Xenopus tropicalis: one gene and its partners. The protein of the gene in region 1 interacts with the protein of each later gene in a pairwise test. Links are inferred from orthologs where the notes say so. Each region holds a gene or a part of one and is shown in the gene's direction. Other genes may lie near its edges.

Region 1 (3,657 bases):
TTGTCCTATGGACAGATTCCCCCACCTGAGCTGTAGATCTCTGCAGCTCGTCCAGAGTCACCATGGGCCTCTTGGCTGCATTTCTCATCAGCGCTCTCCTTGTTCGGCCTGTGAGTTTAGGTGGACGGCCTTGTCTTGGTAGGTTTACAGTTGTGCCATACTCCTTCCATTTCTGAATGATCGCTTGAACAGTGCTCCGTGGGATGTTCAAGGCTTTGGAAATCTTTTTGTAGCCTAAGCCTGATTTAAATTTCTCAATAACTTTATCCCTGACCTGTCTGGTGTGTTCTTTGGACTTCATGGTGTTGTTGCTCCCAATATTCTCTTAGACAACCTCTGAGGCCATCACAGAGCAGCTGTATTTGTACTGACATTAGATTACACACAGGTGCACTCTATTTAGTCATTAGCACTCATCAGGCAATGTCTATGGGCAACTGACTGCACTCAGACCAAAGGGGGCTGAATAATTACACACACCCCACTTTGCAGTTATTTATTTGTAAAAAATGTTTGGAATCATGTATGATTTTCATTCCACTTCTCACGTGTACACCACTTTGTATTGGTCTTTCATGTGGATTTCCAATAAAATTGATTCATGTTTGTGGGTGTAACGTGACAAAATGTGGAAAAGTTCAAGGGGCCGAATACTTTTGCAAGCCACTGTAGTACAGGTATGGGACCCGTTATCCAGAATGCTCGGGACCAAGGGTATTCCGGATAAGTGGTCTTTCCGTAATTTGGATCTCCATACCTTAAGTCTACTTAAAAAACAATAAAAGATTAATTAAACCCAATAGGATTATTTGCCTCCAATAAGGATTAATTATATCTTAGTTGGGATCAATTACAAGGTACTGTTTTATTACTACAGAGAAAAAAGAAATCCGTTTTAAAATTCTGAATTATTTGATTAAAATGGAGTCTATGGGAGACGGGCTTTCCGTAATTCGGAGCTTTCTGGATAACGGGTTTCCGGATAAGGGATCCCATACCTGTACTAAAAAAGTATATTTTATGAAAATTGGGTTATTTAGAGGAAGCAGGGTTTTACATATGAGCTGTTTTATGTAATATATTTTTATAGAGACCTGTATTGTTTGGGGGGTATACTTATTCAAACATTTTCAGGCATACTAAGTAATGTAAACACATAAGGGAGGTTTCGGAAGTTCATTTATTCCTGATATACATAACACAAAGCCACCCAAAGCTGTGCTCCACTCCCCCCCCCACCCTTTTTGTAGAAATGGGCACAACAGTATAGAAATGTCCTAACACTATGGTAACCTAAAAGTGCCACATTTCCCCAAGTGGGCAAGCATCACCCATTTGCCTCTCATACTCTGTGAAACACACAAGAGAACTGAACAATGTCATCTTTAATAACATTTCATAGGGTCAGTCAGCTGGAAATCATTCATTGTCATCTCATAGCTCATCATTCAGCTTCCATTCTTTATATGCTCTCTGCCAGTGCTATCCTAATAATGCTTCCAAGTTCACATATTAACACGATAACAATGGTCTTCTATTTCCTTCATTCCAGTACTTTGTTTGCATCATGAGTTATTTCTAAAACATCCATATCTACAGTGAGCCATAACATATTTACCCATAGAATGAAACAGAGTATTTAATCCTAAGCATAAGTTTGAGCTTCTTAAGTTGATTAAATTGTGGCTATACAGTGCCTATAATTGGAACCTGGTGTAAAACCATTGATTAAGGAATATATGTTCTTCTAATTTTAAATTGTAAATGTAAATTTTAAATTGTAACTTTATAGAAGGACCATATACTGCACAGCTTCAACAAAATTGAATTGGGTAGGGGTTTGTAGTACCTAAATATGTTGTATTCTGTTACTGCAGTAATTATACCCACATAAATTGGTTAGTATTTAAAGAAAGAAAAATAATTTAATATTTTCCTTTACATTCTTTTGAACAGGTCAATGGCATTGATATAAGCAGTGTGCCTCACACATACGCCCTTTCCGTTCTCAGACAGCCTTCCAAAGTGCTAAGGCTTACAGTCCTCCGAGAACAGAGGTACAAGTGTCGAACCAATGGAGTCAACATGGAACAACACAGTCCACAAGATGACAGCATCCATGTTGTATTAAACAAAAGCAGCCATGATGTGCAGCTAGGAATAAAACTGGTCCGAAGAAGAGACGAGCCTGGAATATACATTTTTAATCTACTGGAAGGAGGCGTTGCTGCAAGAGATGGTTATTTGCAGGAAAATGATCGGGTTTTGTCAATTAATGGACATGATTTACGCAACGGGACACCTGAAATTGCAGCCCAGCTCATACAGGTGAGTAACTGTTATCCTATCACAGTGGCTCCCAAACTAGGGGGATGGCCATCCTACAGGGGTTGGAGCAGTGGCATGTGGGGCTCAGCCTGAAGGCAAGTTTGGGGGAGAATTTGGGAGGATGTTTATATATTCTCCTAGATATACTTGAAAGTCTAACTTGGAGGTCAGTTGGGGTGAGATTTGTGATCAGTATGTATTTGCTGTCCCAGATATTTTTGAACCTATAAATGATAAACCAATATTTTCCTGTATCTGTGCTCATTTCATGAGCTTAGGGTGGGCCTGACCAAAGGTTCAACCATTAAGAGAGTCCTTGACCAAAGGCTGGACTTTCAACTGGGACTTGAACTGAAACCTTTGATAACTACTACCCTACTGCATAAAGCTAATATTATGCTTACGATATAGGTTATAAGCAAAGCTACACCAAAAAAGTAATATAATAGGAAAAAAACTTGCAGGCTTACATGCTCTATAATGCATTATCATGACATCTCGTGCATAACTAGCACTTGGAGCTGATTAATACATTTCAGATTTCTGTATTACCCCCTTCAGTGTCTAAGGAAAATGCATCGGATCAGGCACAATGTACATTATGGTAAATCCTTTCCAATATTTATGTGAGTTGAATTAATCCAAGTAAAACCAGACATTAATTTGCTTTGGTGTTCAACAAGAGTTTAATGTTTAACATAGCGTGGATTGTGGCTCAATGTAGTATACGTTCACTGTTACACGTAAGAAAATGATATGGATAAATATGAAATTGTAACCCCTGCTTGTAAAATAAGGATATTAGAAATTGATGAGCAGTTACAAAACATTCTAAAGGCTAGAAATTCCATGGATTCTGAGGTGTTTATAGCATTTGTTAGCATACCCAGTATTATTAATACTATACAATTCATAGCTAATCTTTCACTCTTCTGCCGGATTTTAGTTCAGATATGACTACTGCACTTGCTTATAATTGGCTGTTCTACCCGCTAAGAGGCAGTTAGATTGGGATACCCCAGTAGCTATGACTATGTGAAGGAAGAAAGACGTTTTCTACAAGGCCTTTGGCCTTGTGCCTTTATACAGTCATGGAACTCCTTGGTGACTAATTTTACAATAGAGGGCATTTTATTTCCTGTATAATCTACAGTTTGGTCATTTTCCTATGGGACCAAACTGCAAATTAAATTGGTACATTACTACTTCACATCATGCTGTTTATAACTTAAAGGGACAGCACATCTCACTGCTGCTCTCCTCGGGCAGCTATTCCTCCACCCTGTACCCCTTCCTCTCGCTCCTCCTGTCTCACTCCCTCTTTTTTTT
Region 2 (3,757 bases), on another chromosome or scaffold:
GAGGCTTTCCTTGGGCCGGGTTGGAGCTGCAGGGTGCCATTGAGTCCTATGGGAGGCTTCCAAAATCATGCTAAGTCTGAAAGTTTCGCCCGCCGCTACAATACAAAAAAGTCGCCACAAGATACGAGCGAATCGTAATGGCTACGAAAAAGTCGCGACAATTTACGAAAAGTCGTAACGACAATGAAAAAATCGCAAAAAATACGAAAAAAGTCGCAAAATGTTCGTTTTCCAATCTGAATTTTTCCAATTAGGATTCGGGGGTTAGTAAATCAGCCCCATAGAGACAGTTATCAGTAAATGATCAGCATTGTCTATTTATGTAGCTGTGACAAGTAGCTGTTACTATTAGCTCAGTGTGTCTTCACCCTAAGTAGTGCGAACAGAAAAGAAAACAGATTGCTAACCGACCCACAGCCGCTTACTACTAGCGGCAAATCATTGAACGCTAATTTGCGCCGTCTCCGCTCGTCACTCACACAGAGCTGCTACGTCACTGCGCTTACGTTGTGATGCCCCAGTCTCGCGTGATGAGACTTGTGGCTTCGGGTCTTTCTGTAAGGAGCTTGCTAGGAGCAGCTTTGAGGGAGGTGTAAGTAGCGAGCCGGGGCTGCGGGCTGTGTTGGGAACATCGGTACTGTTGGTGCAGCATTCATTTACTTGGATTGGCCGAGTCATCTTTGCTGTCAGTGAGCTTGGGAAGGGAAGACGGGAGCTAGGGTTTCTGTGTTCTCTCACCTTTACGGCTTTATGAGCTGCACGTTTTGTCCCATAAGGTGTAGTCCCCGTAGAGCTGTATACACATAGAGGGTGAAGTTTAATCCCCCTCTGCCTATCCAGTCCCCTTGCAGCTATACAGGCTAAAACTTCTGTGACAAACGAGCAGTACAAAAGCTGTGTAGGAAAAAGAACATGCAGGCACGCTAGGTTTCAAGTTAGTGCAGTACTGCCTGCCTCCCCTTAACATCCAAACAAAAGGATATATTTGGAACAGATTTATTAAAAATCAGCTGTGGTTATTGGTGACATTTCTTCTTTGATATTCACTGTCTCTTTCTGGGATATACTGTCTCTGTGCCTACTTAGAAACCGATTGATAAGGAAATTTTTTTTTTTTTACAGGACTCTGCCCATTAAAAACATCTAGCATTATGGATGCCCCTGACTAGAGAAAACAGAAGTCAGGCCTACAAAGGACTTGGCCCTGCTTAGAAACAATGGATGAGTGGGACCCAGATTCCCATTCAAAGCTCCCTCTGCCACATAAGAAGCGTAGTTGGTACCTTGCCTGGAAATATAAAATGAGCAATCAGAGGGCTATACGACGTATGTGTCAAGTAAGTCTAAGGGTTTCTACAAAAAATGGGAAGCATTAACACACCCAGAAATCACACCCCACTCTGCATGCCATTGTGTAATTTGTATGCATGCAGAATGATTTAATTTCTTTAGAAGTCATTTTCTGCCAACTATTTGGATTGAAATACTTTGAACTGAAATCTTACTTTCTGCAGAGCAGATATGATACTTTGCATGATCCACGTTCAAGATCATACAATGTATAGCTGCCACAGATGAAAGCAAAATAAGGGGTAAATATAATCATGATAGAAGTGCCTTGACAATGCCGCTAGATGGTGTTGGGGAAAGTTGGCAGCGTCCTGTTTTTAGGATTTGGAGTGAATAGAAAAATCAGCTTTGCCAAATGAAGAAAACTTGGGTAGCTAAAGTACAAAATCTTAGCAAAATATGTGGAACAGTACATTACCTGATATATAATATGCTGTAACGTTTGCACTTTAAAATACTTCTAGCGTTAGGTATTTTCACTTAGTGGTGTAAAGGGTTGGGAAACTATGGAGCCCAAATAGCTTGCTTTTAGGATATAATTTGTAAGTAATACTTTACCAAACTATAATGACAGGTCAGTGTGACCAGCCTTTTTTTCTCCACTTGACTTTTCCTCTGGGTTAATTGTAAAAAACAATTGTCACAGCAGTCTGATTTTGTATACAGTTTTTGTAAAACTGCATTATAATTATTAGTTATTGAGGTTCTTAGTCATATATTGAATTAATGCTTTCCTCCACCAGGTATTCCCATCTTGTGTTGTAGTGGTTAGTTTTGAAAGGGCCTATTTTCATCCATGGCTTTTGAAATTCTTTTGCATGTCTCAGACATAGCTGAGACAAAACATTCTTTATTTTAGTTTACATTGGTTATCCTATGCTATAGTACAGAATTCAGAGCTGCGTCCCTCCACTGTGAGTGTAATCATTTTACAAGATACTTAGTACATAAGATAATCTGTTGTGTTTTTTTTTCCTTATATGAAGACAACAGCTGTTTTGTTCCTACTTGTAACAGTTATTGTAAACATCAAGCTTATACTGGACACAAGAAGAGCAGTAAATGAAGAAGAAATTGATCAGGACTATGGTAAGCCTATAAAGGATGGCACATATTTCCATACTACCTAAGACATAGATGAAGGATCTAAGTTTAGTGTAGTTAACTCTGGGTGATGCTTTTTCAAATGGAGATCTTTGTGATCTACAAATCAACATCTTAAAATATGCTGGGAATTTTTTCTTATTTGCAAATTACTGACTAAGTCTCTGAACCCGAATTTGTGGTTTGGCCCAGTTTTATGCTTTTCACCACATAGCAATCAGGCTTTTTTTCTATTCAGTTCAGGGGGGATTAGCAGGGAGTGATTTCTGGTGGTTTGCAGCTGACTAAAAGGCACTCTGGTGTGCTATCAGTCTTAAGATGAGTTAATTTTATTTTTTTAAATAAGCTTACTTGCTGTTTTTTTTATTGTGTGAAAGAAAGAACGGTAAAGATAAAGACTTTGAACAGAACATAGTTTTTGTGTATGGTTTTAATCACAAAACAATATACAGTTTTTTACTCTAGTTAAACAGAGCAACAAAATCTTGTGAGGTAGGTTACCAGTGCATACATAAACCAAAAGACCATTAAACAGTACACTGTTACACATAGTATTATATGTTCAGTTATGCTGGATGTATAATATGAAGTGCAAGCTGGTAAGCTTTTTTTTTTTTTTTTTTTTTGCAAATATTTGTTTTTCACTCAGATGAATCTTTGCAACAAGAGGATTCCCCACGTCGACCTGCCAGCAGTAAGAAAGTGCTGGACATTGAAATTTACTCAAGCAGATCAAAGGTTTACATAGCTGTGGATGGAACTACAGTAAGTCTTGGCTTAAACTTTGGAAATATATGCAGAAAGGCAAGATTCCAGTGAGATAAAAGCAAACATTTAATTCTGACAAATATTGATTTTCAGAAACAGCTTATCAGGTGTCGCATTATTTAGCACTCCCACCCTAAAAGGGCATAGGAAACCTTTGTTTTATATTTTACAGTGTTGACATGCACAAAAGAGGACTTTATTTTAGCCTTTTTTTTTTGATGTTGTAAAGAAGTTGCTGTACAAAAGTATCCCTCTGGCATTTTGTTGCCAGTTTTCACAACCTTCTGGTTGTGGCCCTTTCTGTCCTTCATGGGTTTGTTTGACAGACTTTCCTTTCTGTAGTTTAGACGCACAGGTTGAAATCTGTATCTGCCATATTTATGATTTTTATAACAAGAACTTCTTGTATTGTTTATTACACCACTTTTCTAAAACTTTTTTTTTTTTTTTTACTCTTGCCCCCTGAAACATCCTCTGTGGAACATGCACCCTTACCTACTCACTCTGTAACAGCTTCTTGCTTTCAATTGGTTTT
Region 3 (3,177 bases), on another chromosome or scaffold:
TGAGAAATGACGCGCCCTGCGGTACCACCATTGGGCCCATCCTGGCGTGCAAGCTGGGCCTGCGGGTACTGGACCTGGGCTGCCCCCAGCTGGCCATGCACTCAGTGCGGGAGATGTGCTGCACCTCCGGGGTCCTGCAGACCTCCACCTTGTTCCAGGTAAGAACATAACACATGGGGCTATGAGTATGGGGCATTTTCAGGGTTATACTATTGCCAATGAAGCAATATTTACTGTATTAATAACAGTACCAAGCTCAGATGTTTCCCCCTCCCCCATCTGAAGGAACTTGGTACAGTCCAGAAGAAAACGGAAAGGACAACTAGCATTTTACGGTTTGGGAAAAGGGCAATTAAATTGTTTTACTCTATCAACTACTTTGTTGACCTTTAATTTCAAGTCTTAACTCAATATCAAAAAGCAATGCCCTCAAATCCCATAAATATGTTTCAGTAGAAAGGAAATCCTTCATTCCCCCAGCTGGGGGTTACACTACTGCCTCATCTCATTGCCATTGGATGTATTCTCTCCAGCCAGAGATCTTGCAGTGGGATAACAGATCAGTTTAAATCTCACTGTCTCTGAGCTAAATCTCCCAGAATCCTCAGCCAGCCGTAACCATAGACTTTCTTGATAACCATAGGCTGGCTGGGAAAACTGGGAGGTGTTGATCACGGATTGATTGATCGTTGGGTTGATCTGTGTCAGAGCACGGAAAGTGCCTTCTGTTTTACCAGATTATCCCTCCTCATCCTTTGTCCTTATCAGCGGCAGCTCCATAAACCCTTCCACCCAGGGAGACTGCACTGCTGGTTCTCATAACATACAAGTACCCTGGTTTATAGGTCACTGCTTCAGGGAAGAGAATATCGGGAGCCAATGGGGAATCGAGCTCAATAACTCACTCAAGGACTTGGGCAACGGAGTTAGAAAGCAAACCCAAGTCTGAGTATTTGGGGTCTCGGTGACCCCTGTGCAGATTTAGGGAGCAGAGGGGAAATCGGACGGTTGGGGATTTAGGGAGCAGAGGGGAAATCGGGCAGCTGAGGATTTAGGGAGCTGAGGGGAAATCGGACGGTTGGGGATTTAGGGAGCTGATGGGAAATTGGGCGGCTGAGGATTTAGGGAGCTGAGGGGAAATCGGACGGTTGAGGATTTAGGGAGCTGATGGGAAATTGGGCGGCTGAGGATTTAGGGAGCTGAGGGGAAATCGGACGGTTGGGGATTTAGGGAGCTGAGGGGAAATCGGACGGTTAAGGATTTAGGGAGCTGAGGGGAAATCGGACGGTTGAGGATTTAGGGAGCTGAGGGGAAATCGGACGGTTGAGGATTTAGGGAGCTGAGGGGAAATCGGACGGTTGGGGATTTAGGGAGCTGAGGGTAAATCGGACGGTTGGGGATTTAGGGAGCAGAGGGGAAATCGGACGGTTGGGGATTTAGGGAGCTGAGGGGAAATCGGATGGTTAAGGATTTAGGGAGCTGAGGGGAAATCGGACGGTTGGGGATTTAGGGAGCTGAGGGGAAATCGGACGGTTGAGGATTTAGGGAGCTGAGGGGAAATCGGACGGTTGGGGATTTAGGGAGCTGAGGGGAAATCGGACGGTTGGGGATTTAGGGAGCTGAGGGGAAATCGGATGCTTAAGGATTTAGGGAGCTGAGGGGAAATCGGACGGTTAGGGATTTAGGGAGCTGAGGGGAAATCGGATGGTTAAGGATTTAGGAAGCTGAGGGGAAATCGGACGGTTGGGGAATTAGGGAGCTGAGGGGAAATCGGACGGTTAGGGATTTAGGGAGCTGAGGGGAAATCGGACGGTTGGGGATTTAGGGAGCTGAGGGGAAATCGGACGGTTGGGGATTTAGGGAGCTGAGGGGAAATCGGACGGTTGGGGATTTAGGGAGCTGAGGGGAAATCGGACGGTTGAGGATTTAGGGAGCTGAGGGGAAATCGGACGGTTAAGGATTTAGGGAGCTGAGGGGAAATCGGGCGGCTGGGGATTTAGGGAGCTGAGGGGAAATCGGACGGTTGGGGATTTAGGGAGCTGAGGGGAAATCGGACGGTTGGGGATTTAGGGAGCTGAGGGGAAATCGGACGGTTGAGGATTTAGGGAGCTGAGGGGAAATCGGACGGTTGAGGATTTAGGGAGCTGAGGGGAAATCGGACGGTTGGGGATTTAGGGAGCTGAGGGGAAATCGGACGGTTGGGGATTTAGGGAGCTGAGGGGAAATCGGACGGTTGGGGATTTAGGGAGCTGAGGGGAAATCGGACGGTTGGGGATTTAGGGAGCTGAGGGGAAATCGGACGGTTGGGGATTTAGGGAGCTGAGGGGAAATCGGACGGTTGAGGATTTAGGGAGCTGAGGGGAAATCGGACGGTTGAGGATTTAGGGAGCTGAGGGGAAATCGGACGGTTGGGGATTTAGGGAGCTGAGGGGAAATCGGACGGTTGAGGATTTAGGGAGCTGAGGGGAAATCGGATGGTTGAGGATTTAGGGAGCTGAGGGGAAATCGGGCGGCTGGGGATTTAGGGAGCTGAGGGGAAATCGGACGGTTGGGGATTTAGGGAGCTGAGGGGAAATCGGACGGTTGGGGATTTAGGGAGCTGAGGGGAAATCGGACGGTTGGGGATTTAGGGAGCTGAGGGGAAATCGGACGGTTGAGGATTTAGGGAGCTGAGGGGAAATCGGACGGTTGAGGATTTAGGGAGCTGAGGGGAAATCGGACGGTTGGGGATTTAGGGAGCTGAGGGGAAATCGGATGGTTAAGGATTTAGGGAGCTGAGGGGAAATCGGGCGGCTGGGGATTTAGGGAGCTGAGGGGAAATCGGACGGTTGGGGATTTAGGGAGCTGAGGGGAAATCGGACGGTTGGGGATTTAGGGAGCTGAGGGGAAATCGGACGGTTGGGGATTTAGGGAGCTGAGGGGAAATCGGACGGTTGAGGATTTAGGGAGCTGAGGGGAAATCGGACGGTTGAGGATTTAGGGAGCTGAGGGGAAATCGGACGGTTGGGGATTTAGGGAGCTGAGGGTAAATCGGACGGTTGAGGATTTAGGGAGCAGAGGGGAAATCGGACGGTTGGGGATTTAGGGAGCTGAGGGGAAATCGGACGGTTGAGGATTTAGGGAGCTGAGGGGAAATCGGATGGTTAAGGATTTAGGGAGCTGAGGGGAAATCGGGCG

The links.
Region 2: the proteins of lnx1 (region 1) and pomgnt1 interact in binary tests that used the Homo sapiens proteins (3 or more experiments, as listed by UniProt). The link is inferred for Xenopus tropicalis from reciprocal best matches to the Homo sapiens genes LNX1 and POMGNT1.
Region 3: the proteins of lnx1 (region 1) and dnpep interact in a two-hybrid assay, tested with the Homo sapiens proteins (3 studies listed by BioGRID and IntAct). The link is inferred for Xenopus tropicalis from reciprocal best matches to the Homo sapiens genes LNX1 and DNPEP.

The regions. Positions count from the first base shown.
Region 1 is NC_030677.2:39,751,817-39,755,473, reverse strand, and holds part of lnx1 (E3 ubiquitin-protein ligase LNX), read left to right. Parts: intron 1-1,956; coding exon 1,957-2,328; intron 2,329-3,657.
Region 2 is NC_030680.2:92,988,334-92,992,090, reverse strand, and holds the start of pomgnt1 (protein O-linked-mannose beta-1,2-N-acetylglucosaminyltransferase 1), read left to right. Parts: upstream 1-1,135; 5' UTR 1,136-1,217; coding exon 1,218-1,337; intron 1,338-2,336; coding exon 2,337-2,439; intron 2,440-3,103; coding exon 3,104-3,219; intron 3,220-3,757. UniProt on the Homo sapiens protein: Participates in O-mannosyl glycosylation by catalyzing the addition of N-acetylglucosamine to O-linked mannose on glycoproteins.
Region 3 is NC_030685.2:83,817,213-83,820,389, forward strand, and holds part of dnpep (aspartyl aminopeptidase), read left to right. Parts: coding exon 1-158; intron 159-3,177.